4 linked regions of the Drosophila melanogaster genome follow. The protein of the gene in region 4 interacts with the protein of the main gene of each other region in a pairwise test. Each region holds a gene or a part of one and is shown on either strand. Other genes may lie near its edges. The genes, in order: cpo, pira, CG44005 and CG33695.

Region 1 (8,543 bases), on a different chromosome or scaffold from region 4:
AAAGCAACCAGCTCACGAACGGCGGAAAAAAGTTGGAAAAAAAAGTGAACGAATCAAATTTTGTCGTGGAGACCAATGAAAAATGCAGAATTTTCTTACATTTTTTATACACTTTCTTGTAGGTTGTTGGAGCTGTTTTGCGTTTGTGGTCATTAGCTTAAATCACAATTGGTTTGCACTTAGATTTTATGTAGATTTGTGTGTGTATAACATATACGTATATATCTATATATATATGCTTGTATGTGTGGCTATATATATATATGTATATAACTATGTGTGCAGCATTCCATATGCGCAAATGAATTTTCCGTTTAGCGAGCTCATTTCGTTTTTTTTGTTGCTGCAATTTTCGCTTGTTTAATTGTTGTTCGCTGGCGCTTAAAGCCTGATGTTGCTGCTTTCTGCTGGTGTGTGATTTTGTTGCTGTTGCTGTACTGCCTGCTGCACCAACAACAACTAGATGGAGTGCGGCGACAACAACAACGACAACGACGACGGATGCGACGACGGCAACGACATCACGACGGCACGACAACGACTGAAAACTGGACCCGCAGCTGGAGCTGGAAAAGCTATAGAGCCCACGATATGGCCCACCTACATCAGGAATTCGCTTCGATTGTCGTCAGCAGTTCAGGAATTTCTCTCTCGCTATCCCCGTATCACTCGGATTCTCTCATGAAAAGGGACTCTCTCTCTCTCTCTCTCTCACACACACTGCCTGTCGTTCGCGTGGTGAATTGACCAGGGAGTTGTTAACCAGGCAAGTGGGAGCACATGTTTCTCTCAGTGTTATGAGTGGCTTTTCATATTTCATGTGCAATTTTAACACCTACTACAAACTAACTGCCGAGTGTGTGACTCCAACTTTCACCACACACCCCCAAATACCCGCCCCCTTTGGGCATTACATGCTCATATGGTTGTTTTGCGCAAACATTAAGCAACAACATCGTGTTGCATATTCATAAAATTCAACTCCTCATCCAATGGGGGGCGTGTGTGTTTATGGAAATATGTTCACTGTTCACTTCCTCCCCTTGCTTGCTGTTGCCAAAAAAAAAAAGAAAAGAAAAACAGTTTTTCATTGCATTTGGGGATGTTCTTGCAGCAGCAGCGCCAATTTGGAACGAATCGCTCTTTATTGCATACTTCGAGGGGCAGGGAAATGATCCCTTCTCAGCGAATATTATTGAAAAGATTTGGCAGCTCAATCGAGCTTAAAATTGCAATAAACTTGAATAGGTTAACAAGCTGCGAAATACAGAAATATATTATAGTTTTTATGCTAGAAATCATTATATATACTTATACTTAGTTGTAATTTCATTTATATTTATTTCTTCTAAAACTTTAGCAATTTCCTTTAAAATGATTTCGCTTGCTTAGATCTGCTTTAAATCCATTTGAGCCAAATCTATTTTTGGATGCCCAACTTTTGACCTTAACACATCACGTGCTTGTCAAAAATATCCAACACTCAAAGCCCACAAAAATTTGTACACTTCTGTTGCATATTTCTCAATTGGCTTGAGTTGTCGTCGCTGTTATCGCTTTTATCTGTCAGCTTATCGCAGCCATCATGAGATTTGGCGTAAATTGTCACAGCCACTCCAGGCCAGCCTTCCTTCACCAGTGCATTTCCTTTACTTTGGATGCCTTTGGCAGAGTTACAGAGAAATAAATAAGTAATATTACTAATATGCATACGAATCAATGCATAGTTATTAAATATATCGAACAAATATCTGCAGTATCTTATTTGTAGTTTAACTATCAAAGTCCCATATAACAATAGTTTTAGTTTGGGAATTGATCTAGGTACAAATTAAAAATATTTTTATTATAATACTAAAAACCATTTAATTAATAGAATATTACTTTAGTTTGTCTTAATTCAACTACAAATTTGTTCTCAGCGTATGACAGCTGAAAACAGAAAGATAAACGCGTTTCTGGCTGTCGAAACTCTTATTCCATTGCTGATAGCCTGCTCACGTGCAGTGTCTTCGGCTCGCAACACTCGCACACCCGCAACACTCGCACAGTCGCCGGCACACACACACACTGGCACACGAAGGGGAGCGATTGGATTTCCGGCGGAGATGAGAGCAAGCTACGTGGGCGGGGGGAGTGGCAGGTGGAGTCTGGGAGTGCCAGGAGCTGTATTTGGCCGCCAGCATTTTCCGATGTTGCCGCTTACTTTGTAAGTGTGCGTGTGTGTGCGTTTGTGTGTGTGTCTGGGCGGCTGACGTCATTGAGCTTTTTATTGATTTTCATTTTAACCAAAAAAAAAAAAGAAAAAACAAGAAGAAAACATACTTGGGCTAGGACGCAGGGCAGGAAGGCCAACAGATGTCATCCAAGAAAAGTCGAAATGCGCAATTAAAGAGAGAGAGAGAGAGACTGCAAAGGGGGCTTTCTCGAAGGAAGTTTTTGACAAGAATTTCTTGGGGCCAGCGAATGCTGTGTTGTAAGGTAATTACAAGGAAGAGATGCTTTACAATTTCTAAGAGTTAACTTTAGTTGATTTCAAGCTGCACGTGAATAAAAGCACTTCAAATACAAGTGAAAGCCCACAAACGTATTATGGTGTAATTTAATTTATTGTTTGCAAGCTCAACTGCGTAATCAGGCTGTTTATATAAGTGTACACATATAAACCTGATGTATTTTGATTTTTCTATTATTGTTTGTCAAACAATCGTTATGGCTGATTTTGTTATTTTTGTTGCCTGGTGAAAGCTATGGAAATTAGGTCTATTTGCACAGGCAATTAAAGACTGCCTGGTTTTGGATGAGCACAAATTTAAATTTAAGTTGAATTATAACATATTTTAAAAAAAAATTATAATTACTTAAGGCATTGGTTATCATAACAAAATATTGTGCTACATCACAAACAAAATGCATATTTGTTCGAAAGGGTGTTTTTAAAAAACTTCTACCTCTGTCATATAAATTTAATTAAAAAAAAGTATGTGATTTAATTGAAATTAAAAAAAAATTCTTTAAATTTATTTTACAACAATGATTTTAATACGTATTTATTTTAATAGAAAAATATACATATTTTTGAAAATCTACATCTACAACTAAAGCGACACCTGCCGGCGCGCCACTACAATTCAATTGTGCGGCGAATTAGAAACTTCGCTGTATTAGCCAAGGCAACCACCGGAAATAGTCATAAATTTAGCCGATTCAGCTACCATTGTACCAAAGTACGCCTTTCGTCTTCTCTAAAAACCTGCGCAGAATTAATACGCTTTCTATCTTTCGCTCTTCTACGGGATATGTCAAAGTGACAAGACCATTAAGGCAGACAATGTGAAAGCTATATAAGCGACAAGAGAGCGAAAAACAAACAGATAAAGATAAAGCCACCCCCAAAAAGCCGCCCCTTGCCGTAAAACACGGACCCCCACCAAATGGAAGACAGCCAAACAACCCCCGAAAAAGCAAGGAAAAAATTCAGGAAAAATACCTGAATGAGATTATGATGGGCCTTGAACGAAATGCAAGGGCCAGGGAAAATTGAGAATTTTATTTCAGGCGGGGGGTTAATATTAAGGAGATGCACCACCCACAACAAGCACTTAATAACAAATGTGTGCGTGTGTGTGGGCGCTCTCGCAGGACTTCCGTTCGCTCTTTTCTACGCTCTCTTGGATGCTTTTTGGATCTGCGCGCAGCAATCTCAACGAGATGGGGCGAAAATCTCTAATAAGGATGCCCGATGATGAAAAATTCATGGCCTGGCATCGCACGCATCCTGCGCTGGCTCCTGAGTAAACGAAAACACTCCGACTCAGTCACACGCAGCGAACACAGAGGCCAGCGATATATATAGTGAAAACCCCGAAAAATATAGCCAAATTGAGACCAATATCTGAAATTGTGCGATAAATAAAACGCTGCATACCCCGCAGGGCGCAGCCAACTTATTCCGAAGCCAAATCGAGAAATTCTTCGAAACGCGAGTGCCACCAAAAATTTATTGTTTCGAATTCGCAGCCAGTGATTGTATAATTTCCATTGCTTTGCTATTTTTACGGGTGTGGGCCGTCCAACGGCAGCGGCAAAGAGGATATATCTATCTACATATATCTTCCAGGATATACGGATTAACCCAATCTGCGCCAGAGATAATTACCGAAAATCGACAAATTCCCGGGCATAAAAACTTAATTGACTTGAATAAATAATTTCCAACCCGAGTTGTTGTTGTTTGTTCGCCTACGGTTTTTTTCGGTGAAAGCGAATGCGGGCCCAAAGCGGAATCGGAAAAAGTTACTGAAATACAACGGCAGGAAAAAAAAACGAATACATAGAGAAACTGCCGCTGCCGTTGCCGCCTGTGAAAGCAAAGAGAAGGGGGTGGAGAAGGAGCGTGGGCAAAAAGAGAGCGAGAGGAAGAAAGCGCGGAGGAGGTCGCGGAGTTGGAGAAAGGGGGCTCGAGGAGTAAGAGAAAGCAGCCATTACTGCGAAAGAGAGCCAGAGTCGGAAGAGAAAGTCCAAGAGACAACATCGCAATTTTGTGGAAGACATTCACAGTGGATGGAAAATTTATAAACAAAAGTTAAGCCCTTAAGAGAATGCTGACAAAATAAAAAAAAAACGCACGATAAATATATTTTAGAAATGTAACTTAAAAGAAAAGACTCATATCAACACATATCATTCTATAGTCTATAGAAAATATTAAATAACTAAATATACAACAACAAAAAAAGCTGAGACAAGCAGCTAAATAATTCCAGCAATTACCTAAAAACCAAAACGATATTTTATTGTCTTAAAAGAATAGAAACCAATGCGATAACCATACATATCATGTAAATCGTTTAATGCCAAAAGGTGAAATATGAAAAGTATATTAAATTAGCACATTTAAAAGAAATGTAATTCAAGAAATTAAAAAAATCTACGAATGGAAACGTAAACATATCATGTAAAACGCCTAAAAAGCTTGCTGAATCCCTAATCAAGCTTTTTTATCTTATCAACAAAATAAAAAACAAAACAAATGAACTAGCCTAAGGAGAGTTGTGCAAATTATCGCATACATATCAAAGCTCTTGCAAAGAGCAAATATAAATATTAAATTTACAATTATCTAAGATCTAGTTACCTTAGAAAATCCAAAAGAACAGTAATTTTTGTTAGAAGTTTTACATTAGTTGTCTCGAATATAACAAGAGAGAGATATATACATACAACAATATTGTCACATATCATTGAGGAAGCCTCAGCAAAAGTCTAAAACTATAACGACTAGAAAACATATCAATTAAATTAGACTGCGTGTTTATGAATGCTACGCGAAAATATTAATTACTTTATCAAGCGGACCAATTGCAAATGACGAGAAGACTTCATTGAATTCCAGACGACGGATTGAAAAATAACTAAAGTTCTTAAAAGGTAAGTTTTCACAATAATGAAACCATTAACTGAAAATGGTGGGCTTCTGTGGAATAAACGTAAAGGATTGTGTCATCTGAAACGATATATTAATATTAATTAGAAACAGAATATAACATTTTGCTATGATGTTTCCGTGCATTAGTCAACGGTAACGTTGTGGTGAAAATTGGCCTACACTAATTGACATTCTCTCTTTACGTCAAAGGGCTCTTAATTAGAAAATCAAATCCGAGAATGCTTTTGTGGTTTTGGCGAGCCGCCTCCCCACCAGATGTATTTCCATACGCCGAAAGCAATCATAAACTTTTAGCCCTAAGCGTGTGAGCTTAGGTAATCCACAAAACAGCCCAAAAATAAAACCGTTCGGGACCCCAACATTTTATGCGCCAATGGGTCTGGAGGGTATTCGTGTTTCGCTAAACCATAATGAGCCTGTCGAAGTGAAATTTGTTGCTGCAGCGCCTAGGATCATGCCACAAACATCTGCAAGCACCAACATACGGGACAAAATCAATAGGCGGCCATGTGTGTGTGTGCATGTGTGCGTGTGTAGGTAAACAGCTAGAAAAATCAACCGACACACACGCAAGAGGCGGTGGAAAAGCGAGTGTGTGTGGAAGGAGTGAGAGAGAGAGAGAGGGGATTTTCTCCTTCGTCTCCACGCGCGCTATTAAAATTTTCATTTTTATGATTATCGCTTGTGAAAATCCGCAACAATTGTGCCGGTTCACACGATGCAAAAGGGACTAAGCACACGACGCACAGGCAGGCAGCAGGACACCTACGATGATGAAGCCGCGAGCCAGGGAATACAGTGCGTATGCGTGTTATTTCTCCGCGACTGAGCAAATGTTTAACTTTGGGCATAAAATTAAATTTAATTTTCAATTATCGCGGCTGGCAACGGTTTGGTTTTGGCCTTGCAGGAACAACTGCACCCCACGGCGGAATAACGAAGCGATTAAAAAAAATGCTCCAACTGGCCGAGAACTGGAGTTTCAGTTGGCTCACCTTTTGGCCATTAGAGCTGTGGCCACTTTAAGGCCGCTCTCGCTGCAGCTGGCTCACTTTGGGGCATCAAAAATTCATCTTGCCGGCATCCAGAGCTCTCCATCAGCCAGCGGCCAGTAGCATCTGCTGACTTTTCGCCATTTCGCGCGCACTTTCCCATTTTCCCCGCACTCACTTTTTGCCATTTTCTTCTTGGCCTGGCCTTCCATCTCCACTGGCCAGTTCTGGCCGAATCCCCCTTGCGCTGCACACTTTCGGGCGCCAGCACCTAATGAGTGCAAAAATGAGCTTCGGGAAATGCTGAACGGCAGCAGCAACAAAGTGGCGCTGGGAACATGAAAGGACACTCTCCCAGTAGCCTTGGATATCATAATTACACTGAGCTCATCCTCAGTCAACTATGTAATAAATACGCCCTTTAAAGTGGCTTTTTATGAAAGGAGGTGTTAATGAAAGGGAGAAGCTCGCCATTTGTGCAGCAATTCATTTGGCTTAAAGTTCACATTCGTATGTATTAAATAAAAATATATTGGAGATTCAATAGCATTTCATATTTTACATGTAAGTTCTTCAACTTTCGTCTTAAAAACTCTGCAGCTACGAAAATGTAATGACCCAAATATGCAAGCTTTTTTATGTAGATTCATTCCAATGAAAATACTCAGTTTAAAGTTACTTTACTTCCGTTGCGAAATGCGTCGCCTTCTTTTGGCCAACTTAAAGTAGCCAGGGCAGGGCTTTTTTAGCCAACGTAATGCCAACGGAACTTTCCACCAAAGTGGGTGAAGGTAATTTTCCACGTAGTCGTGTCGACATTTCATGCAAATTGTTTTTTTTTTCTTTTTGTGCAGATTCTCAGGCTTGTTCTCGTTCTGTTGCGTGAGCTTATTTTCTTGATGTTTTCAGCGCTACACTTATTTAAAGTTTCGCAGGATGGAGTGCTGGATAGAGCGGCATTTAAGCGGTATTCATGAAGTCCTCAACATTTTGCTAAGCTCAAAACTTGAGTGAGTGCATGGTTTATGGCATTTCTGGGCGCTCACGCAGGTCGATTGCCAGCCAGGTGATGTCATCAGCTGGGCTGCAAAAAGCCAGTTGAGGGAGGTTGGGAGTTTGGGAGTTTGGGAAACTGGAACACTGGGAAACTGGGAGGTGAATGTGCGTTACCTACAGGTGGACAATCTAGCTTAATCGCTGGCTCCACCGAATTAATCAAAATTCATGTAGCATACCCTCTTGAATACAACAAACGCAATTAGGCTGAGCTATTCCACCGAGTGTGTGTATGCGGCCCAGAGCAATCATTTAAATAGCTTACGTTTTAGCCACCTCAAACGCCGCCTGACAACCGCACAAATATATCATATGCGAGTGGAAAAAGTGAACTCGGCTGGCATACAGAATTTCCTGCCGCTTTGTTGGTAATAAGCGAAAAAGCTGAGCGACCTTTGAACCACCGAACGCCCACCATTTTTCATGCTTCATTACATTAGATGACACGCCCCCATCGACTCAGCCCTTAGCCCTCCGACACCACCATCTCCTTCATCCGCCCTTTGTGTCCTTCAGTCCTATGTAGACGTGTGACAATGACGTAGTAGAACATTTCATTTTTTCGGCGGCAGGAAAACTTCAGATGACTAACTGCCAACGGCGCCACGCACTTTTCCTACTATTATAAACCACCCCCCCCCCACCGTCGCTTAGATTTTTCCAGGTCCTTTTTCCGAGCTGCGCTCTCATTGTTAATTCATGAAATGTTTGCCACTAACAAAAAATTACACTTAATGCTAACCTGGCCAAGATGATGGCCGGGGAAAAGTCCAAGTAAATTTTCCAAGCCGCTGCAGGCGAAGAAAAACCTACCGAGGGGTTGGGAGCTGAAAGACAAGGATAATTGTCACTTACGGCTGCTCCTGTCTATATGTATTTGTATCATATCGTATATACTTTACCACGGGCCCGAGCACGCATTAAATATTTATGAAATTACAGCCCGGGATATGTATACACATACATATATACAAAAAGCTACCTTTGTTTAAGTATACATGGAAAATTGATTGACTGACTGACTGCTTGACGGCTGATTGGCAGTT
Region 2 (8,891 bases), on a different chromosome or scaffold from region 4:
AAATACGATATAGTTTTATGTTTTATAGTTAGGCATAATGGAAAACACTTTAGCAAATACTTTTGTGTATTGTATTACTAATCGATGAGTCTACAATTTGTTGATTGGCAATCAGCCACTCGAGTGCTTTATTGATATATAGATGGGCAGCCCATTAGTGCTAAATCAAAACATGCTGAACTCAATAAACAGATATGGGAGTTCTCTTCTAACTGAGCTATACTTGTACTTGATAACTAAAGGTATTATTATTCTTATATCAGATTGGTTTAGTGTTTCATGATATTTGCATAAAAATATTTTGCACTACTTACAGCAGATTGCGGACATCGCATGGTCTGGTGAGGAATGCCGGGATGAGGATGATCGAGTTGAACGACACGATGCCGTAGTACATCAGGAATTTGAAGTAGTATCGGAATATGTGATTGGTCTCATAGAGGAATGGCAGCATCAGCAGCAAGAAAAGTCCCAGCAGTTCGATAAACGAAGTCATGGTGATCATTTGATTATGTTTATGCTTAGTGATTCAACCGTTTCAGATCCTGGATCCAGATGCCTTCTGCTATCTTCGCCCGATTTGCTATCCTGTATGGGACTTCCGGCTTTTCTTTCTCTGACTTTCCTATGGTTAAGGCAGATTACAGTCTTTTAGGTGTGTGGTTTGTGTGTGGATATCCTTGTTGTTCCGATCGATGCGCTGAAAAGAGCAAATTTGTTAATATTTATAAATAATGAGCAAATTTGTTAATATTTATAAATAATGTAGTAAAAGTTTGAAGACTATAAACCAAATTATTAGCAATCAGAACAAAGAACAATGGAACTGGCGTTAAAGGGCTAATTCTTACAGTTTTACAAGCACCGTCCTTTTGTTATGTTTTTGGGCTAGTGTGTTTTAAGTGCTGATAAAGCGGGAGAAAGGGGAAATGGGCAATTGCTGTGTTGCACGCCATTTCTCCTGTTCCTTCCACTACTTTTATTGCTCACTCTTTTATGCACGTATTAATATGACAATTATGCGAGTGCAACAAACCACAACGTCACAAGCGCACCAAGTGATGAATACTACAGTTCAGGGGGAAAAAAAAATTGCAAGCAGTTGAAGTTAAAAGCAAAACTTGCATAAAATACGATCCCTTTTTAAATGTCATACCCAAAATAAAAGTGAATAGGAAATATTTGCTAATATAAGGTTTTGTGAAAGAGTGCATATGGTATTGATAAAGAATTGAACTAATGCTAATATCTTGACCGCAGCTGTATGTGCAGCCGCCCAGAAGAAAGAGAAAAAATCAATTTAAATTTGCGCCCAGCGGCGAAAAACGGAACAAAACAAAACGGGGGAGAAACGAAGGAATGGGAATTTAGCATACCATATTGTGTTTTTCTACGGGTTTTAATAGATACTATCAATGAGATACTATCAATTGATATGCTATTGAATCCCGATTTGAATGCTGCATATAATCAGCTAAATAAATTGTCTATTTGTTTGCCATTTCCTTTATTCGGTTCGCTGCCCCTATTTCCATTTTCAGTCTTAACACTTGCGCGTTATGTTAGTTCGAGGACATCCATTGATATTAAAAAAAATTCTTCATTAAATTTAATTCAAATATTATATTAATAAATAAGAACACAAAATTAACTCCAAAATTAACTCCATTTGCATAAAAAGACAATTTTACAATATGAATTTGTTTTCTGTTCATTTGTATTTCAAGTGCATAGGAAGAACTATAGAGTTTTTCGTTGTGTCAAAAAATTTACTTATTATTTACTATTTTGCAAACTGGGTCCATCAAGGGTTAATATTGTTGTTCCCTTACGAACACATCTGGCACAAAACAAAATAAGCAAAAAACGGTAAAAGGGGGTTGCGCCAAGAGAGCGTTCAAAAAGAGAGGGTGGCAGAGAGAACTACAGACACGCCAAGGATAATAGCAAAAGAAATCAACTTAAAGACACACAAAAACACATAGCACACACACACACACAAAAACACTCGAATTAAACATAAATAAATGCAATTTTCGCCAGCTCCGTTTTGTTGTGGACAAACCTTTACAATTAAATTAAACAATTCGAATTTAATACAATTGGCGGCTGCGTGTGGAATTCGCTTGACACACCAACAACAAATGAATGCTCACTTTCTTCGTTTCGGCTTTTGTTTGTTGTGGATTTTAATAAAAGCGACTACTTTTTATTTCGATCTATTTCGTATGCAGTTATTTCGATTCTTTTTCTTCTCTTTTATTTTTATTTTCTGCTGCTGCGGCGACGACACAACGCCGACGTCGACGGCGACGCGAAAACGACGTTGCGCTGCGTTTGCTGAGAATTTCCGTTACCGGCGTTCGAGCGACTTTCGTGGCAACTAGCGGTACCGAAATATCGAAGCTAACATCGATGCATCGATGTTTTTATCGATTTTCCGAAACATCGATGTCTATTTTTTTTTTTCATCGCTATTCGAAGACTCAGAAAACGAATTTCTTCAAATTTAAATTTATTCAATTTCAGTTATTAGCATGCAATCTTAAAATTGTATATGCATTTTCAATTTGTAGTGGAGGCCAAAAAATTTCCGATCAATTGATTTCCGACAAACTTATGTTTATCAATACCAGTTTAAGATTATGCATCTGAAAATATATCTTATTTTTTTTAATTTTATTATATTAATATTTGTTTTATATTAAATTACAAAAAAATTAAATTTAATAATAAATAAATGTTCTTTCTTTTTCAACAAGTGTAAATAAAAATATTATAGTCTGCAAATATCGATAGACGGCTAATTGTTGGGTATCGATAGCGAGCGGTGTGTGCGTCCGCGCTGCATGGAGCTGGCATTGGGTTTGAGTCTCAGCTTTGGAACTAAAAAGCATGAACTAAAAACATCGTTTCGAGAATTAATTGAGAATTAAATATTAAAGTCCCGCGTATTTAAAAAAAAAATAAAGCTGTTAGTTAAATATGACATCTTCTCTGCGAACGGTTTGGTTAGAGCAAACAAAAAAGTTTATATGACTACAACGAAAAATTCAATTTAATAAAGAACTAACGGAAAACATAGCATAAGTTTTTCCCGAAAAATATGATGTACTCAGCTGGATATTTAAAAATAGAGCAGGCTTGTTGTATTATTTACATATGCATTTTCCACGTGCTTAAATGTTAAATATATTTTAAATAATATATATAATTAATATATGCATAAGAAAAAACAATTCGAATAAAAATATATTTTGCAAAATATATTACTGCAGCCAGCACAGATATGACACTATTTAGTAAAGTATATACAGTAGTAGTAATAGTAAATTTGTAAATGTAAAACAAAAGCCAGTTTCCAGTTGCTTCACATTTAAGGAATTCGACTTGGCAAACTTTCTGACAGCTAACAACGTTGTGATTTAGATGCGTTTTTCCGCACTTGGCAACCGATGCAAATTGCGAAATGGAGCCCTTTGGCCCGCGGAAAGGAAAACGTGTGTGTGTCTGTCAGTTGTTTTTTTTTTTTTTTTATAAATACGCTCTTGGCAAAAAACAAAAAAACAATAATATTTTTGTTTACATTTGATTTTCTTATCGCCGCCAAGCGATCCATGTGGTGAGAGGAGCTCAATGCTGACGACTAAAAATCGGACAGGTGGACCCGATGACGGACGCACAACTATAATTTGATTAATGTCTGTACTTGTATTTGCAAAATGTTGAAATTAAAACGAGAATAAATTTTTGGTTTTTAAAAATTCCCATACAAAGAACTTGCAACAAACGGCTGAACTTATAACTTTGTAAATACCACATGTAAGAATACTAATACTTGTAAATGAAAAGCAAAGAACTTAGCTTAGCTAAGATTCGCTTAAATGCCTATATTTCGTCAGTTCAAATATTATTTAATTTCAATATTCGCAACATTCAAATTTCAAAGCGGACTATCGATACATATTTTTAAAAACACCCCACAAAATCCATACCAATTGGAAACATATACATATGTATCGATATGAGCAGCAAAACTCCGATGGCGATAGCAACTCGCACAGATGATTTTTGGATACAGCACTTGGGACGCCGTTTACCCCAACAATAAAAATAGACAGATATCAAATATCGCATAAAACACACAGATTGGAAAATGAAAGGAATATAGTGATCAAAGTCACCGTGTTAGGTGACTCTTCAACCATCCAGTTAACTTTGCACATCAAGCAGCCCGAGAATTTGCAATCGAAACGAGAAACTTCAGTTCAGTCAGATCAGCCCATATAACGTACATATGTTATACTATTGAATCCGGCTCCAAAATGGATCGCAAAGAAACTGTTTCGAAGGACCAAGCGGTACGTCGAATTGCCCATAATGACTTTATATTAGTCTCACGTCAATTGCTGATCAATCGAGCCGACACGGATCCGGACAAAGGAAGTGCCAGGATGTTGATTATCTACAGCAGTGGAAAGCAGCACATCGTCACCTTCAAGCTGCCGAATCTTGCGTGTAGGGTGCAGGATCTGTTTTTCCAAATGGACCTTCAGATCGATGAGAGCACCACGATTGATTGCATTGAGAATGCCGGCGGTATTATCCATTTGGTTGTCTCTGTGGGCTTCCCCATCAGTGATAACATTGCCGAGACGGTTGCCCATGCGGAGGAGTTCTATAGGAAGGTGCATCAGTCAAAGGCATCATCGGCTGATGCCGCTCCACCCAATGCGATGGCCGGTGAAGAGCACTCCCCTGCGGTTGTCAAACCATCAGAGACTGCGGTGGCCAACAATGGTTGCCAGCCAGCTGCAAGTGCAACCAAAGGCAAGAAGCACAAGAAAAGTCCTTGCGGGAGTCCGGGAGAAAACAATGATGGCCAAGTGATATTGTCGGCGGATCAAGACGCCAATACTAATACCAAGGCCAAGAAACAGAAGAAGTGCCATATTGCAAAGGATAACAATGGAATTCAAGCTGCTAGTTCTCATGACAACCCTAGTTCATCTGGCAATAAACAGGGAAGTCACAACTCCACGGCTATAACCTCCAATTCTACAATGACGAGTAATGGTCTTCGGGGCGTGCAACCAGCTGAAGATGCTCCCGCAATCTCCCAGTGGATCCAGTCGAGGAACAATGCCGCTGTTAGCAAGAAATCGGAAGAGACAGCTGGTGGATCTCAATCGCGGGTGCAATCGAATGTTGCATCCATATCCTCGCCAGCGGTGAAAGCAACTAGCGACGCTGCTATACCCACACCAGCAGAACGCGCAGAGCGTAGTCGCCTGCGCCGAAATCGCAATTGGATACTAAGCAGGGACGTTGATGAAGATGCCGTGGTGCTGGTGAGCAGCGGTGATGAGGAGACCACCGCCGCCGATGATGGCCAAACCGAGAGAAGACTTTCACCCGATGAGAATCAAACCCTTTTCACATATCCGCCAACTGGTACCGGTGGCCTGAGCATCACCATCAAGGACTTTATGTGTCTCAGTAAAGGATCGTATCTGAACGATATAATCATTGATTTTTATCTGCGCTGGCTAAAGAATAACATCATACCAGAGGAACAGCGCGATAGGACGCATATCTTTAGCACGTTTTTCCACAAAAGATTGACCACACGAACGAATCCCAGAAATACGAAGCAGACGGCGGCCCAGAAGCGTCACGAAAGGGTTGAGAAGTGGACACGAAACGTCAATATATTCGACAAGGACTTCATTATAATACCATTCAATGAGCAGTCCCATTGGATACTGGCCATTATATGTTATCCAAACCTTAGAAGCCCGGTGGTAAACAATAATAATGTGCAGACGACACTCAGTGATGATATTCCCATCAAACAGCCGTTGATACTTATTTTCGATTCGTTGGCAGTCACCTCAAGACATCGAGCGATTGCCATATTGCGGGATTATCTCACCTGTGAGCACAAGGCCAAGTATCCGAATGCGCTGGCGCATGTCTTTAACAAGGATAATATGCCCGGTCATAGTGTGGAGGTGCCGCAACAGCAGAATCTTACAGATTGCGGCCTCTATCTGCTGCAATATGTGGAGCAATTCTTCACAAAACCCATCAACGACTATACACTGCCCATTAAGGAGCTGAGCAATTGGTTTGACCTGCTCACAGTAACCAAGAAGCGTGAGGATATCGCTAATCTCATCAAGAAGCTTATGAATGAAAGCAATCAGCAGCGCAAAATTTTGCCGGTCATTAAGTTTCCGACATTAAATGGCCAACTGGTGATGGATGAGGAGGATAGCGAGGAGGAGAATTCTAAAGAGGAGCATAAAACTACGTTGGTTTGTTCAAAAGACAGAAAACCGCCGAGGAGAAGGAATACACTCAAATAAACCACTTGTGAGAGAAGTGAAAATACATATATTTTCTACAAAACAACTGAACTGAAGACGATCGCAACGCAATGCTTTGGAACACTAGGAGGAGCAAATTGACACGGCGGAGATGGGTTCACCAGAAATATACGTTTTTTCCCTCAAGGAAAAGTTTCATACACACATACAATCACCAAAAAGAGCAGTTCAGCCAACAAGACGATAAAGAGGCTACCTACTGGAGAGATAGAGACAGAGACAAAGACAGAGATCAGGATCACAGGATGAGCATGTTAGGCAGGACGAGGTGGATGTCAGGAGTTGGAGAATGGACAAAAATCAAGAAAAATTCAAAATTCAGAAAGTCACCAAATGAATAGAAAATATTTTAGAAACAAAATTTGTAAATAAAATGCGACAATAAAATTTGTCACGCATAAGCAAAGCTTTATAGATTGCCAAAAAATGTACATATGTATGTATGTACATAAGTACATAAGTTGCCCCGCGCGGTGTTCATCGGCCATTTGGGAAACTGCAGGGTATTACCAATCAGCATTATACTCGACTCTAAGCCCACACACACACCCACACGCAAGCACACACACGCGAGCGCAAACACATGGATCTCTTTGCATTGGTGTTGGGGTTCGGCGATAAGAAAATCGAGCCATAAAGTCGCGCCGGCGATTCTATAGACGCTCAGTTGCTTTGGAGCGATTCTTTGATGCAGACGAACATCGGAGTTTGCGGATTGTAATAATAGAGCCAAGCGGAGAGAGCGAAAAAGACAGAGAGAGAGATAGAGAGCGAGAGCGAGAGGGAAGGCACCAGCGAATATCGAGCATAAAGCAAAGCCCGCAACACGTGAAACAGCCAGCAGCCAATTGATTTCAATTTCGATTCTTAAAGTGAAGTGACCAACAACGTGCGATTAACGAGATGTCCACCACCACAACAGCATCCAGTAAGTTTATCCATCGCCAAGGTTTCCAAATAAACAATTGTTGTGCCTAGAACGTAAATAGTACCAAAGCTACCATCTTTTATTCGATCTTTCATCAATAAAAGACAAGCTTAATGTGATGGAAAGCAAGACAGTTGTTTATGTTTTCCCGCCAGCCTTGGATTTATTTAAACAGTTATTCGGGTTACTCAAAAAAATAAAACAACGGAATATTTTCCTGGTTCTGATAATATTTTAATGCTGTTTATTGAGCTGTCTGCTGTAAACAAGAAGGCTGGCTTTCCATTGTTTAAATCAAGATAATTGTGGATTTCGTAAACAAGTTGTCTTTCCATTCCTTAAATCAGTATCATCATATATCATATAGCATCGATTCTAAATACTAACTAAACACCGAACGTAACGAATGCAACTGCAACTTGAATTTCCACAGTAGAGGGCTATAAGCTCGGCAAGGTCATCATCGAGGGCAAAACCAAACAGGTGTACGATCTGCCAGAGCAGCCAGGACTTTGCCTGCTCCTCAGCAAGGATCGCATCACCGCCGGCGATGGTGTCAAAGCACATGATCTGGCCGGCAAGGCGGAGATCTCCAATACCACCAACGGTCAGGTCTTCCGGCTGCTCAACGAGGCAGGTGAGTTGCTAAACCATATAAGTCAAATCAACTATAATGCATTTTAGTCAATTTCTAACCAAATTGATCAATTAATTAATTAATTAATGCTTCTTATTCGACAGGCATTCGCACCGCCTATGTGAAGCAGTGCGGCGCCAAGGCCTTCATCGCCCGCAAGTGCCAGATGATACCCATTGAGTGGGTGACCCGTCGCCTGGCCACCGGTTCGTTCCTCAAGCGCAATGTCGGCGTGCCCGAGGGCTACAGGTTGGTAAACAGCCAATGGCTGGCTGTGGGTTATCACCCCATTCGATTTGTTGCGATCTGTGTGTTATCTGTGTCCGCTTGCGGTAAACAAATTCAAATGCAATCGATGCACTGCAGCAGGGTCAACAATCGCTGATAAGATTGATCGTTTGTGAACTCAAAGCCCACGAAATCTGTAATTCAAGTCAAGATTTTCGCCAGGGCAATGCTGCTGAGATGCTATGTGTAAATTCGTTTCATTTGATGTCGTCATACCAAGGCAATAGCTCTTTTTTATGGCTTTGATTGCCAACAAGTTCGCCTCTTTGAGTTACTGTAGAATATATATTATACTAGAAGTAATACAAATGTCACTTGATATTTAATTTATTCATCTATTTGCCTCAATTTGCTGCCTTATTACTACAATTACATTTGCATTGCGCAGGTTCTCGCCGCCCAAACAGGAGACGTTCTTCAAGGATGATGCCAACCACGATCCCCAGTGGAGCGAGGAGCAAATTGTCTCCGCCAAGTTCGAGCTAAATGGCCTGGTGATCGGTGGGTACTTGCGGCATAAAGCACTTTTACATATACAAATCTAAAACTGGCAACATGTTTTTCTTTAGGCCAAGATGAGGTGGACATTATGCGTAGAACCACACTGCTGGTCTTCGAGATTCTCGAGAGGGCATGGCAGACCAAG
Region 3 (7,962 bases), on a different chromosome or scaffold from region 4:
CGCAGCGGGAATTGCCCTTAAATGAGTCTTTAAGTGGGGACATTAAATTGCTATATTAAACTGACCTCAACATGTAGATATAGATATATGTACATATACATATGTACATGCCACTATAGTTACATAACTTAAAGGAAGCATGCCTATTAGTATTGCATCTCTGCTGTTAGTAATAACGAATTGGCGGTGATCAGATCAAAATTTCGACTTTGAGTAATTAAGAAGTAATAAGCTTAAATCACAATAAATCGTAGTTAATGATAATTTGTGAATTAAATTAATTACTTCAGTTATTTATCTATTATAGATTTTATGCCCAATAGATCTTTCTGTATTCTAGAGGCAATATTGCTATTGGTGCCCATAATGGTGCAGTTGTATATTTTCTTGTTTATTTACTCACATACTTAAAAGCGTTGTCTTTCAAGAAAAAAGTTTTGTTTGCATCAGCTTGCCACTGCACTCTCCGAGTCAAAGTGCATGAAAAAATAGCGGGATAAATTAGTAATATTTATACAAACATTAGCTTTTACAATAAAAAAGATACGATAAGTGCAACATCAATATCATAATTAATCCTTTTAGGACAGGTTATTGTATTGCACAAGAAAAGACTGCAAAAGTTTCTCTCTTCTTCTCTCTTCGATTTTACAGTTTCACTCTGCTCTTTTATCAGTGAGCTGTGACACAGTTCTCAGTTCGCTTTTCGCTCTGAAGGCAGAAGCTCGTAATGGATATCCAACGGAGAATACACGATGTGCCCCATTCGAAAGCCTCGATCTGATATTTGAAAAACTTGTTAGTTTACAATATAAAGTTAACTTACCTCTGGCGCACGAAAAGCTTGCAAAAGCTTTCTCCTGTCACAGCCGCAACAAATTCAGGACAATTACGCTCGACGGACGGCTAACACTTGATTCTTGGAAGTTTCTTATTCGGGAATGTGGGCCCACGATTGAAGAATTTGTATACGGTGTATGTGGTAGAAATGTGGTTGAGAAACATTGTCCCAATTTGAAATCAGTATTCGTTCTGTTCTATTTGTCTGATCGGGAAAACATGGCGTCATTCTTAGAAAATATGAAAAGCTCTCTGACATCGGTAAAAATAAACCAACAAAATTACTTTCCGGCTACTATCGTTATCGCGGTGAGTGAAAAAACGCAACTAAAGGATTTTTTTCTTCAGGGGATACGTGGACGAAAATGGTGAGCTTCGTGAATTTATTAATGTTTATCTTTGACTGGGGCCTTGTTCTCAGTTCGCCATTTAGATAGACATACATACATATGTATCTGAGGTTGACGTTTGAGATTAACAGCTGAATCGTGGTGTTGATTCGACGTGGAGAGTCCTTGTAGCGGTTGTGATCATAATAATGTAAAATGTCACTTGCTCAGAATAGTTTTTATATAGATTAGATGACCCGGAGGACGAAGGCTCTCCCGAAATTATCTTCAATGTGAAGATTCTTCTTTCTGAATGTTAGCTAAAAAATGTTTGGAAACTGGCCAGAAGAGATTGCAATGGCTCTGGTTAAGGATACCATTAGTAGAACATCAGCGCAGCAGAACCCTGGAGTTTCTTTTGGGAATTTACGTGCGTTACAATGCTGACATAGGACATATAAGTATGTACATATATAAATATACATCATGACAGTTTTTTACTATTCGTGAAAAAATAAACTTATCACACTGTGTTCAAGGAAATAATTAATACATTTATTGTATTGTAGAAAGGAAATTAGTGTGAAGAAATGCAAAGTGGATATCACCTAATTTGTACGTATGTACATATATACAGTAATAGTAATGTCAGTGAACTCTAATCAGATAGTACAAAAGCTTTTCTTATGTTTCTCTTCGTTTGCGAATGCATCTCTCTCTTTAATAAATACAGTTTGCCAGATGCCTCAGTTCGCATTTCGCTCTCGACGAAAAAGCTTGTGATGGATAACCCGCGGAGTATAATCGATTTGCCGGTCGAAGTCCTCGATCTGATATTTACGCATCTTATTTATATGAATTACAAAGTGGAGCTGGCTAAGGTTCACGAAAAGCTCACAAAAGCTTTTGTCTATCACAGCAAAAATGAGTTTAGGAGGCTTAAAGTAACACCGTGGTTATCAAATGAATCGTTTTTGTTGGTAATACAAGAATGTGGCCACACAACTGAGGAATTAGTTTTCGATAGAAGTTGTGACTTTTGGAACGATATTCTAATCGAAGCGGTTACCAAATACTGCACCAATCTGAAATCGTTTACAGCAGTTTTATATAGGTCGGACAGTGACCAAATATGTTCCTTTTTGCGAAAAATAAACAAATTATTATTATCCCTTTCATTGGAACAACGTTCGCGATTTCCATTCGAAATATTGAAAGTTGTTGGTGAAATGACGCAGTTAAAGGAACTTTCAGTAAAAGGATACATTGACGAGAACGGTAAGGTTTTAATAGCACAATATAATAGTTTTTAAACTTACTGCTATGTTTGTAAGGATATAACGCATCGGATAAAAATTTAAAAAAAAATTTTGAAAAATTTCTTGAAATTTAGTTTGTGAATGATTTCTAACAGCGTTTCATTCAGTTAACGAAATTCAGAAATTGGTCGCCCTGGAGAAGCTGAACATCGAACAACATTATTATCTAGACAAGCCTGATGTCAACATACTGAGAATCTGTTCGTCACTAAGCAACCTGCGAAAATTGACTATAAATAATGTTCATATAATCTCATGTGAAGAGCCCCATTCAAAAATGTGGGCCGATCTGGAAACCTTAAAGCTCATTATATGCGCATTAACTCCCGAGTTACCAGACTGTCCTAATCTAAAAGTTTTGGATATTCATTACCTCCGAAACTCCAACGAAGGCTACATTTTAAAATTTATACTTAAAAATGGGAGAAATTTAAAAACCTTATATGAAAGATGCCATCCACCGATCGATGCCAACGGTTTTCTTCAATTACTTCGAGGGTGCCCCAATTTACGATATCTTTACACTCCTCTGGAATATATTAAACTCTATGCGGCCTATCTGTCTACTATTGTGGAAATTTTGAGGGAAAATAAAGTGACGCCGGAGAACCCATTTGAACTGGTTGTGTGTAGACGTATTAAGTGGAAATGGTTTCGTAGATTGGTAAGTGGAATTGGTTATGATGTCTTAAATTTTGGCTTATTTTAACCCTTAGCTCCGTCGGACACCAAATGCTGAATTAATAAGCCTTTACTTAGCTGAAGAATAAGGAAAAAATAATATTACTATAATAATAAAATCCAAAATTGATTTTAAAATATATATAAAAAATATTTTATAATTTTATAAAGATATATATATGTAGAAAACAGCAAATCTAAATTATGTAAAAATGTTAGCTAAGAAAAGATGAAATAAAATTAAAAAAATAAATAAATAAAAATGTATTATTTAGTTTTCTTAATATTTGTATATTCACATTTTTGTAAATTCTACAGAAATTATAATTTTTAAAAAATTGGTGAAAAATTGGAAAACATGCTTATAGTCAGTAAGTACAACCTTCCAAATGATGACAGCTTGCGCGAATTTACAGTTAGTTCTCCAAGTGAGGAGTACTTGGTTCTCTCTCTCAATTGGAATTCGCTAAAATTCCCATCCCCATCAGTTTTGCACCAGTCTTGCGTTTGGCCTTCGCTCTCGAGGGTATGGGGTACCTGCAATGAGAAATCAACGGACTATAACCGATTTGCCATTCGAAGTGCTCGATATCATATTTAGTAACTTACGAAATCTAAGGGACAAACTTCGACTGGCGCAGGTTGATGATTATCTGGGAAAAGCGTTTTCGTACCACAGCCGCAGTGATTACAAGAAGTTCTCACCAAAAATACATTTTCCCGTTCGACTTTATCGAGTTCTGCTGGCGAATTGTGGCCCTTCCATTGTGGAATTTACCTGTGGATCGGACACCTGGAGCGATCTGTTGGCCAAATCGATTGCGAAGTACTGTCCCAACCTGGAGTCGGTGAACATCAGTGCTACATTAAGAAATAGTCACAGTCTTCAATTTTTTCTATTGAATTTGGCGAATTCTTTAATATCGGTCGAACTGAAGCTCAACGATAGTTGCCAATCGCCGAGGATACTTAATGCCGTCGCCGAGCTGAAACACTTGAAAAAATTCTTGTATGAAGGATACATTGACCGGGGAGGTAAGTCATTTAGGAAAATAAATCGAATTCCCAATAGTGTTATATTCTCATTTCACTCGGCCTTAATGGGTTAAATGAGTATACATAGAAGTAAATATAATACGATAAGCTGCTGTTTATATTCAGGCTCGGCCGATATCAAACGGTAAATTTCTTTTTCCGCTTGACGATTATCAGATTTCTGTCCGTCTTTGTTTTCTTTTGTTTTGACTCCCGTTCGGCTAATTTAACATTGTAAATTATAATGTTTTCTTTCGTTTTTAAACTTATTTACATACTTACTTGCATATATTTACCGCTGTTGTAGCGATTATAAAATAGTAAACTTGTTACATTGTTGTCCACATTTTTCAGTTAATCAGCTGTGCAAACTGGTTGATCTGGAGGAGCTGCAACTCATCTATCAAGGTAGAGGATATAGATGCAGAGCAGTTAATCTTCTTCAAATTTGCGGAAATATGACAAATCTTCGGCGTTTGACTGTGAGCAATATATCGATATCTCAACCAGAAAGCTTCCATCCCATGATATGGCCAAACTTAAAAGATTTGAAAATGCAAAATTGCGAAATCTCCACAGTGATGCCCGATTGTCCCAAGCTGAAAACCTTATATATCAAATTCTGCAAATGTAGAATCAAAGGATATGTATGCAGTTTTATTTTGAAAAACGGCAATAATATCGAGGAAATCGATGAAAGCTGTGAACCGGCACCATTTGATGGCCAGAGTTTCCTTCAAGTCATTCGAAGCTGTCCAAAATTGCAAGTGTTGTCCACTCAAATGGGGGGTATCAAGATCTACCAAGCTTTTGTTACATCCGTAGTGGATATTCTCAAGGAGACTGCATCAACGCGAAAAGAACCCTTCGAGCTGATATTGTACTGCCGAGACAAGCTTAGATGGTTTCGACGATTTGTGAGTGGAATCTACAATATGTTTACTTTACATACACTTTTCGTTGTTAATTTTCGTCTTTCAGTTACAACGGACTTCTAATCCTGAAGTGATTCATACGCTTTACCTGTACAAGTTTTAAGGACTGGCAAATTGTATATCAGAAAACACAAAACAATTAATTATAAATATATTTTAATTTTTATTTAACCTGTATAGAACGATTGTACAATTTGTAAAACTTAGAAAATATTTGATTTTTATTTTTTAAATTGTATTGAATTAGAACTGAATAACAATAATTGCATATATCTATCTAATGTTACTAATATAAATTTATAAATTTATTTAAACTACATTAAACTTATAATATTTATAAATAATTTCACAACTTACGATGTGATGTCACTTAACTGAGAGCTGGAGAGTCGGAATATGTTCATACGTACGATTCGGTTTCTCTTATTTAACTTTTCTTTCTCCCCCTCTCAATTGGATTTTAGCTAGCCGATGCTCTTGCTGCAGTTTTCAGTTCGCAATTAGCTCTCGGGCTAAAAGCTTTGCGATGGAAAACCAGCGGACTATATACGATTTGCCGATCGAAGTCCTCGATCTCATATTCGTGGAACTACAGAGTCTTGTGGATAAGGTGCAACTGGCACAGGTGCATGAAAAGCTGGGCAAAGCGTTTGCGTACCACAGTCGAAGTGCCTTTAAGAAGCTCAGCCCTTTCTTTGGAGTAACTCAAGAATTGTGGTTGGTTATTGTGAGCCTATGTGGATCGACTGTTGAGGAATTTTCCAGCAGACAAATTTGGAACACCCCATGGAGTGATATACTGGTTGAGTCGATTGAGCAGCATTGTACCAATTTGAAGTCGGTGAGAATTGATGTGTTCGAAAACAATTGTGACGGCGTGCGGTCATTTTTGTTGAAAATGAGTAAATTATTGGTATCAGCTGAACTTACTATATTCACGAAAGATCCGAAAAAGCTTTTCGATTCGGTCGCAGAAATGGCTAATGTGACACAATTAGCATTGAGGGGTAATATTACCGAAGATGGTAAGTTAAGTATGTTAGTGATAGCCCAATTTAAATACAAAAATATTATCAATATTTTCAATACTTTTCCATATACACATTTATACCCTAAGAAATTGTTGAATAACCAATACACTCGCTTTTTATTTAGTCTGCCAGATTCAGAAGTTAACTGCTCTGGAGGAACTAGTGATCGATTATAATAAAAGCTTCAATCCATTTTTACCTTTAAATCTTCTCGAGATTTGTACACCACTTACGAATCTTCGCTCCTTGACAGTACGCAACATAACTATAATACCCTCAGAACAGCCGCATCCTTTGATTTGGCCAAAGCTGGAGGATCTCAAAATTAACGACTGCGAAATTATTACGGAATTGCCCGATTGTCCGAAGCTAAAAACTTTAGACATGATAAACTCCAACTGCTACATTGAAGGCCTTCTGTTTGGGTTTATTCTGCAAAATGGAGTGAATATTAAAAAGATGAATGAAAATTCCAATCCACCTCCATTCGATGGAGATAACTTTCTCCAAGTTCTTCGATCATGTCCAAAGTTACGTGCATTCTATACACCAATGAAGGCTATTAAAATTTACCAAGCTTTTGTGTCAGCCATTGTTGAAGTTCTCAAGGATAACGGCGTCAAGAAGGAGGAACCTTTTAAACTAATTATTTACGCTCGTGCAAAGTCAAAATGGATTCGTCGATTGGTAAAATAAATAACAAATAGTGGGAAGCATTATTTATTTTTTTTTTTTTTAAGATTCCAAGGACCTCAAATCCCGAGTTAATAGATTTAAATTATTTGTATGATTTTGCGTTTTAAATATAAATTTGGGCTCCCATATGCCATATGTTATTTATAGATTGGCCCAAAATTATCAAGATTATCATGAAAATAATGTTAGGATAATACCAAAATATATATGTATGTTTCAAAAAATTCTATATTGATGTTGTTTTTTATCATTTTGGAGAAGTATATAAATGTGAGTATATATTCGTCGTTTAAAATATATATTAATTAATATATACTATTAAGCAAAAGAGATATCACCAAATATTTAAAGCAAAGCCATGCACATGGAACAATTTAAACAATATGACTAATACTCGAGCAAATCCAAGCCCCACACGAACTTTGAACTTGCGCCTGAACTTGAGCGCCATACCCATCCATTTCAATCTTGTCCTTTCCATCCAGGAGTGCGTGTCAGGTGCAATGGACACGAGTCCCGCGCAGGTTCAACAACATTGGCCGCAAATTCCGTGGCTTACTCATCAGGTAGTTGGGCGCTGGTAGCCTAAAGTGGGAGTTTTTGGAACAATGATTCAACTTCAGGTTGGGTTCAGGTTGGAATAATACAATAGAGGTGAATAATCTAAACTTGTTCACCTCAAGCATGACATCCTTTATTTAAATATACTTCCAAAAAGTGGAAGATTGTGTATATATTAATAAATTAATTTATATTTGTCCTGATTTTATGTTACAAAGAGAAAAAAAAATAAACAAAAATTCTCAGATTATCGATTAGCAACGTTGTAGGGATTTTTGTGTGGCTGCAATGTCGAAAATTCCCATATTTTCAACGAGAGGAGAAGCTCTAAGGGTGACAAGGGGATAAACTCTTGCTAAACCCAAATATTGCCACTGAGTCACCGACCCGACGCCTGCTCCTCTGCCATAAATAAGGAGAAATACTCCCTCCGGAGCTCCTTGTCTCCTGCTCTGCGGGTCCCCATGAAAATTAGTCTCAATGAACCCTCTGGAGGCGAGTGACTTATAGCACACTTTTGGCCACGTTAACGCTT
Region 4 (7,936 bases):
TTGCAAACGGCTCTCCGAACAGATATCCACAGCGCATGATGACTTTGGACAATTGCAGGAAAAGTACAACAACCTGAAGCATAAGTGGTCTAGTCAAAAGCTGGCCATTGATACCATGCAGGTTGACTACAATACTATACAGCAAAAGTACCTACAGCTGCAGGACGAGTATAGGCATCTGGAACTCAGATCGGATGAACAGTGTCAGCAGCTGCAGGATGAAAATTCTAAACTGCAAGCCGAGATTGGAACTCTCAAGGAGCGAGTGGAGGAGATCCATAGTGAGCTATTAGAAGTTCCCAATCCGGATACTCATCCAGAAGATATGGAGCTACAAAATCAAGAGCTGAAGAAGCGCCTCTCCAAGTTGCAGTGGGAGTTTGACGAGATCCAACTGAATTACGAATGTCTATCCAACGAATTGATGAGTACTATTCAAGAGTGCGATGCACTCCGAGAGGAGCACAAGCAACGAACAACGAACTCCGATTTGGAATCCATGAAGAGTTCGGGTGTAGGCACTGAGTGCAGTGATCCGGAAAACGAATTGGACACTGATCTGCTGCAACAGTTCACCAAGCTGTCGAAGTCCATCCAACAGATTGAGCTCACCGACTACTCCGGTGGCAGGCGCCTCTTTATATATAACCATGCCGAACAGGATCAAAGCGTGCCAAGCCTAAAACTTTGCCTTGAGCCTGCTAAGTATTTAGAGGGTGATGGTAAACAACATGATGCATCCGACTCCGTATTCCTTAAAGGCTTTCTGAAATGCCAAAGATTTCAGATTGTCAAAATAAATCAGGAACAGAATTTGGTGAAAGAGGAAGACCGAATGCGTGATATCATTTTCCAACTGAAACAAGAAGTTGACGGGAAAAAGAATCTAATTGAGGAAGAGAAAGAAGTTATTAACAATTTGCGTGCACAAATTACCAGCCTGAATCAAATCGAAACTATAAAAAATCAAAATGCCAAGACAAAAATATTGTGCGAGGAGTTGCAGACTAAAGATACCGTACAGACCGCTAACAAGCAGGAATCTCAGGAAGTCCTTACTCTCAAGACATCCCTTGCACATCTGAAGTCCAAGGTGTGTGAACTGCAGAAAAAACTTGAAAAGCAGTCAGAGGACGAAAAAATATCCGAACTGCAGTCGGATATTGGAGAAATAAGCGAGTGTTGCTTATCCATGGAACTGAAGCTAGCAGACATTGTAAATTGGCAGGCGGAGGAGTTGCGCCCTCTAGATCAGCTTCAAGAAAGCGGTGTCGAACTGCAGCACCATAGTACCACAGCTGAAGAATCTCTAAATGTTGAGAAGCCTATCCAGGAACAAACTGAACGAACTCTTACCACCGAATATGAACGCCGAATCGAGCAACTTGAAGAATCATTACAAAGGGCACAAGAGGAATTAAGTATTCTGGAGAAGCGAAAGACAGATGAGAACAAAAGCCTTCAGCTTGAGTACATGGCGAAAATTGAGACGAGCGAGAATGAAAACCGCTCCAAATTCCGTGCATACTGCCTGGATTTAAAGGAAACCCAGAAACGCTACGAAGAGCAGCTACAGCAGACCAATGAAAAGCTCGCCAGTGTTACGACTCAGTGTCAGGTGCATTTGGATGTCATTAAAAGATCTCTTCAAGAAAAGATTACTCAGGCCGAGAAGGAAAGAAACGAATTGGCTGTCCGACACAAGGCAGAGCTTGAAAAAATCAGGGAAACGCTGAAGGAGAAGGAATCTTCTTACAAGGAGAAACTAAGGCAAGCGGAGGAGGAGCGCGATAAGGAAATTTCTAGGCTTGAGGTGATGCGAAACACAATAGCAGAGCTGCATAAAACGAATTCTGATCGGGAAGTGGAACTCGAGGGAGTGAAAATGGAAAAATGCCAACTTAAGAAGCTGTACGACAAAAGCATGTTGGAGCTAGAACAACTGCAATGCACTGCCGACCAGAAAAGTTCGGATTTGCTGCCAGGCTCGTCGAACGAGAACATCGATGACCTGCAAAAGAAGTGCGATCAATATGTTCAGGATTTGGAGCTGTTGAGGGGCGAGAAAGCAGAACTGCTATCGGAGATCCAGAAAATCAACGGACAGCACTCGAATACCATAAAAAAACTTGAGGAAATCGAAGCGGAAATGATTACACTAACCACTCAAAAGGAGTTGGAGAGGTGTGAAATTGCAGAAAAGCTGGAGACTTTCAAGTCCAAGGAGGCAGATATCAAAGAAGCTCTGCACTGTGCCCAGCTCAGGCTTCATGCCTACGATAAGCTGGTGTGCGAGTACGAGCGGCTAAAAGGCTGTCTTTCGGATTCAAATAAGTTGTCGGAAAATCTGCAGAAGAAAGTGGAGCGTTTGCATGCTGAACAGCTTGCTTTACAAGAAGGAATTTCCGGCCGAGATTCAGAGATTAAACAGCTTCGCTCTGAGCTCAAGGACGCCATTGATGAAAATAAAACAGTGAGAGAAGCAAAAGTAGGCCTGGAAAATAGTCTTAAAGCAGTACAGGAAAATATGTCTGCCCAGGAAGGTCAGTTTAAACAAAAGATTGCTGATATTAAGGGTTCAGTAGACGAGCTTCAGATTAAACTAAAATCTCTGCAAGAAGTAAGAGACCATCTAGAGTCTAGAAATGAAGAGCTTAAAAGAAAGCTAAAAGATGCTCAGGAACTACAGAACATGGTGGATAAGGAGCGAAAGCTCAATTCCTCTCTACGAGAAGATTTTGACAAACTGGAACAAACCAAACTCGATCTCGAAGAGCAGCTTCGAGCCAAGAAAGTAGAAATCGATCGCCGATCCAAGGAGCTTGGCGAAGTGACCAAGGATTGCGAAAATATACGATCCGATCTGGTAAGTTTTATTTATTTAACGCCTTCACTTTTGTATTCTATTATATTTTATTCTATACCAGGAAGCTCAAACTAATGATTTCCTAAAAGAAAGGGAAACTTTGAACTTGACTATATCCGATCTTCGGTTGCATAATGAGCAATTGCTAGAAACCTCGAAAAATTATCTATCAGACATAACAGCAGCAAATAATTTAAATCTCGAAATGAAGAAGAATCTTCACGATCTCACAAAAGAGTGCAAGAGCTTACGTTCCGATCTGGTAATAATTAATCTGGTAATCTATCTGGTTGATTACAATATAGGTAATTAAAATTTTTCAGCAATCCAAAGAAGAATATTTCCAAACGCAAAAGCAACTGTTGGATGAAACAATTTCTAATCTAAAGGAGGAAAACCGCAAGATGGAGGAAAAGTTGAGTTCGGGTAACAAGGCGCTCAAAGAGGATTGCGAAAAGCTCCGTTCAACATTGGTAATATTAGACTTGTCTTTGTAGGTTATTCGGTCGCTAATGAAATATTTATTTAGGAATCAAAGGAACTTATACTGCAACAGAATAAACAAGAGTTAGAGGAAAGGCTGACTGTTATTAATGAGAAGAATGGGAAAAACGCACTACTTGACGCCCAGTTGAAATCCAATGAAACCGCCTTTACATCACTGCGAAAGGCATGGATTAAGCAAAGTTTAGCCATAGAAGCGGCCAATAAAAGAAGCCTCGAGATGGAACAGAAGGTTGATAAACGTACGAGGGAGTACGAAGAACTACGATCAACTCTGGTAGAATAATTGCAATCAAAGGCTCTTATAAAATAGCTTAATGTTTTCTCTTTAAATCGCCTAGAAAACCAGGGAAATCAACTTTCGATCGGAGAAGGAACGCATGGACGGCACCATCTCTAGCCTGTTAGAAGACAAGCGTAATCTTGAGGAGAAGTTGTGCACAGTCACCGAGCTCCTGGCTAAGCTAAAGCGCGAACTGCCGGCTTTACACACGCAAAAAGTGAACGGAGGCGATGTGTCCATTGAGTTGAATTCCTCGAATGGATCGCCGACTCCTGCAGCTGTTCCAGCAACAAAGAAGCCCCTGGACTGCAATTCCGCTGAATGTGTGCCAAAGGTACGTATGATCTTCTAAATTTCAAGCATGTAATATTTTTTTTATTTCTCTCGTAAAGAAATCCAGCAGCCTAGAGACTGCGGAGCGGAAGAATCGACGGATGACGGCCTACGATGAGAACCGTAAGCAGTTTTGCTGAAACGACTTACGTGACGGCGGAACTACGACCGTTCCTTTAGGTAAGTTAAGGTTTGCTTGGCCGCGAAATCGTCTAAACTTTATGTGGTTTTAACTAATATTGCAGGTGGCAATTGCCACTGCGAGCAGCGGAGCTGCAAACAAAGACTGAGTTCGGACTGGAGGCAAAACGTTGAGTTCAACGATGATAAAAAAGATGATTAATGTTATCCAAGTATTAGGGATTTCTTTTGTTAGGTGTTATCTTGCAAACGGTGGAATTCCACATCATAAAGTTTTCTATTTATATTTACGCCCTAAGTATTTGTCAAATACTATCAATACAAAAATTACAAAAACAATCGTGATCGTAGTATTTAAATTTAAATCTGTATTATGCTGGTTTTTGTTTAATAGTTAAATTCGATAAATAGTTAAATATTGTTAATTAAGAAATGTTTCCTTCATCATGTGTAATAATATTTGGTTCATATGTATAGCATTGAATAAACTATTTACATTTTCTTAATGTTAAAATCAGATTCGCATAAGTTGCTGGTTCTAATAATAAAAGACATAAATTACTTAAATGTAAATCTAAATAAGCATAACGCTTCTTGTTTGAATTCCCGATTGCACCAATCGATAAGTCGATAGTAGCGCAAATACATATTCTAGTGTTGTGCATTGGAAAATTGACGGCCGCTTGAGTGTTGTGTACGGCGTCAGTGTTGAATAGCTGCGGACGCAAAACTACGTAAAATTACGACAAAAAAACAGCGCCCCGCGAAAAAAGGCCATGAACTCGGCAATCAAGGTAGGTTCAGCCGCTCCACCACATCCGCCGGCAGCTCCGACCGCGTTGATCCCGTCGCCAGCGCCTCCGCGCGTTGCAAGCGAGAAAAAGGCGGCGCGGGAGAGAGTCGAGAGTCATTCGTTTGTCTCACTCCTGCGAGTGGGAAATTTGTTGTTCCACCGTGAGTGGGCCGGCGGGCGGTGGGCAGGGGCGGTGCGTTTGTTTTGAATTTGCACGCGGTAACAACAAACTGACTCCGGATGCAAATCCGCATGCACTTGCAGGTGGGGGAGATATTCACGGCCGCCGGACAGGCGTTCAGCAGACTGGGCGATCTAACCATGCAGCTGCATCCCAATGCGGAGTCGCCATCGGGGTAAGTTGATTCTATGCGGTGGAGTCGCGAGTTTTGTGGACACTAATCGGAGTGTTTCTGTGTGCCTTGTTCCCTCGCCACGGCTGCAGGAAGTGGACGGACGAGGAGATCGACATGCTGCACTCGTCCATAATGCGCTTCTCCGACGACCTGACCAAGATCAGCCTAAGCATCAAGAACCGCACCGTGTAAGTGATCCTGTGCTCCTGGCGAGGGAACCGGCTGCCCAGTGTGTACGTGCTAGTTTTAATTGACCTTCCCCATTGCAGTTCTCAGATCCGCCAGGCGCTGAAGAAGAAGGCCTTCGAGGACGCCGGCATTCCCGCCAAGCAAGTGCCCGTCCAGCAGGTGCAACACGTTCTCCAGACGCTGCCACAACAGCAGCCGCAGCAGCCCCTTCAGCAGCCACCTCCTCAAGTATTCAAGTCACAGCCAATCGTGCAGCACGTACAGCTGGTGGCGCAGCCAAAGCAGATCATCCTGCATCCACAGTCTAATACAACTACGACGGGCACGACGGTGACTGTTAAGCAGTACCAGCAGATGCAGAAGGCTGCGGCATTAGCGGCAGCCCAGGCTGCAGCCTCGACGGCCAACAACACGCCCACCATCACGGAGAACATCATTATCCAGCAGCCCACTTCGACTACGGCGACAGTGGTGCAGCAGCCACATATGGTGTCCACCTGCTCGTCGACGCAGATCGTGGTGCCCGTTGTGTCGGCAGTGTCCACTGTTCCAACAGTACTCTCGCCCACGGTGGTGATTGCCGACGATGTGGTTAGCACCTCCAATCCTCCAGCGGCAGCGGCGACAGTAGGATCGCCAGCAGGGGCGCCAGCAGGCTTAAAGTGCGGACCAGACGTGTCCATGACCCTCAATCGCATCAATGTCCAGGAGAACGAGGTGGACGTGGAGGAGTGCCTGCCCGCAGAGGTGGTCAAGCTGGATTTTGTCAGCGAGGAGGTGGCCGGGTGAGGTTCGAGCCCTCGGAACGGGCTGGACTTCTTCTACTAGATCTCCGGCCGCAGAACGAATCACGTAACTTGGAACAGAACCGCTACAAATCCAGATCGAGAACTCTTAAGCAAAAAGGTTGAGATGCCGCCCTAGCCCTAAGTCTAAACTGTTAAGTGTTGTCATATTTGATATACCCTGAAATCACCTTGTTCCGGGCCCCGGATGACAAATGAATTGTGCGATGTGGAGGACGAGTCTGTGGATCGCCAGCCACAGAGCGTAGATATTAATTGCGGAGCGTATATGCGCCGCCTAGACTTAAATTTACGCAAGACACAATAGTGCAAAGTACATAACGACGATCGTGTAAGTTGAGAGTGAATAAACGAGCATTATTTTAAGATTCGGCGATCTCTGGGATTTTATTGGAGTTAGGAAAGCCCAAGGAGCGTAGAAATTTAGTTATTTGCAATGGCTTCTACAATCTCATTGCTGTAATTTGTACTTCATACTTTTATTTTGATCAGACTGTATTATAAAAGCATATATATAATTATATTTTTAAAGCACCCAATGCAAACTCAATTGTGTTTCTAATGGTCCGCTAAATTATATTGCATTTTATCTTTATTTGAATGTACCCATCCAATTTATGGGACCTATTTTATAAACCTTTCCTTTTAAATGCACACCACGTATTTTAAATTCATCCAATTATTGTACAATGAAGTCTCGAGAAATTTCGAATGCATTTTCAAATTTCGTTCTGCTCATAATTGCGCTCGCAACCCATACATTGCCATTCGCATGTCGGATTTCAAATCCGCACTTTCAGAATTTCCAAAGCGGGTAGCAAGAAGAAGAGCGGCTAATAAAGATACGGATACATCAACAACAACAGTCGGAAATCCATTGTTCCCCACAAAATGAGACTTCGTTTGCAAGTCCTGGTGGCCCTGTTAACCTGCTCGTCCATTTCCGTCTCACTGGCCTACAAACCGGTGGTCATACTCCATGGAATTCTATCAGGAGCCGAATCGATGGCCTCTCTGGTCCGGGAAATCGAAGAGGTTTGTTTTTCGATTCCCCTTTGTTATTGTTTACAGTGGCAAGGTCGAATTTGACGCAAACAACGCAGTAGCACTGATAAACTCATTTCGTCCGTTTGTAGTTTCATCCTGGCACTATCGTCTACAACTGCGACAAGTTCAATGGATGGTACAGCTTGGAGAACGCCTGGCGACAGGTCGATCAGGTTAGGGATTATCTCAACGAGGTGGGCAAACTGCATCCAGAGGGCATCATTGTGCTGGGTAAGGCAGCCGATTTTCATTAGAGTATTTTCTTTTAGTTACCAATACTATGCCTTTTTCAGGATACTCACAAGGAGGCCTTTTGGCCCGGGCGGCCATCCAAAGTCTGCCCGAGCACAATGTGAAGACCTTTATATCTCTATCCTCGCCACAGGCGGGGCAATACGGCAGTAAGTGAGATCAAAGTTTAAACCAATGAGTAAATTCTATTTATATAGATGCATAACTGCGTCACATTTTTCCGGGCTAAACTCTTTTAAAGCTTACAAGAAACAAATATATTATGTAACTGTGTTCAAAAATTACGCAGTTGGGTTATAAAACAAAGGGGGATCACAATGGTTCAAGTTTTTATTTTTTGGTAATATTTTCAGCTAGCTTCTTGCA

What was found.
Region 1: the proteins of CG33695 (region 4) and cpo interact in a two-hybrid assay, tested with the Drosophila melanogaster proteins (one large-scale study listed by BioGRID).
Region 2: the proteins of CG33695 (region 4) and pira interact in a two-hybrid assay, tested with the Drosophila melanogaster proteins (one large-scale study listed by BioGRID).
Region 3: the proteins of CG33695 (region 4) and CG44005 interact in a two-hybrid assay, tested with the Drosophila melanogaster proteins (one large-scale study listed by BioGRID).

The regions. Positions count from the first base shown.
Region 1 is NT_033777.3:17,916,040-17,924,582, forward strand, and holds the start of cpo (couch potato), read left to right. Parts: upstream 1-3,792; 5' UTR 3,793-5,430; intron 5,431-8,543. UniProt on the Drosophila melanogaster protein: May play a role in the development or function of the peripheral nervous system by regulating the processing of nervous system-specific transcripts.
Region 2 is NC_004354.4:12,758,778-12,767,668, reverse strand, and holds pira (pirate), read left to right. Parts: upstream 1-4,057; 5' UTR 4,058-4,325; coding exon 4,326-6,371; 3' UTR 6,372-7,027; downstream 7,028-8,891. Other genes in the region: Agpat1 (1-Acylglycerol-3-phosphate O-acyltransferase 1), read right to left, coding at 315-505; PAICS bifunctional enzyme, read left to right, coding at 7,296-7,320, 7,754-7,957, 8,062-8,206, 8,634-8,746, 8,815-8,891.
Region 3 is NT_037436.4:18,067,819-18,075,780, reverse strand, and holds CG44005 (uncharacterized protein), read left to right. Parts: upstream 1-3,657; 5' UTR 3,658-3,711; coding exon 3,712-4,204; intron 4,205-4,558; coding exon 4,559-5,121; intron 5,122-5,185; coding exon 5,186-5,242; 3' UTR 5,243-5,481; downstream 5,482-7,962. Other genes in the region: CG44004 (uncharacterized protein), read left to right, coding at 1,952-2,447, 2,596-3,152, 3,205-3,258; CG44006 (uncharacterized protein), read left to right, coding at 5,666-6,164, 6,295-6,857, 6,911-6,973.
Region 4 is NT_033779.5:11,273,210-11,281,145, forward strand, and holds CG33695 (uncharacterized protein), read left to right. Parts: upstream 1-4,811; 5' UTR 4,812-4,903; coding exon 4,904-4,921; intron 4,922-4,941; exon of another isoform or gene 4,942-5,160; coding exon of another isoform or gene 5,161-5,184; coding exon 5,185-5,276; intron 5,277-5,365; coding exon 5,366-5,464; intron 5,465-5,545; coding exon 5,546-6,254; 3' UTR 6,255-6,638; downstream 6,639-7,936. Other genes in the region: cana (CENP-ana), read left to right, coding at 1-2,866, 2,928-3,128, 3,190-3,339, 3,396-3,647, 3,712-3,987, 4,046-4,126; Ppt2 (Palmitoyl-protein thioesterase 2), read left to right, coding at 7,163-7,306, 7,408-7,549, 7,612-7,719, 7,924-7,936.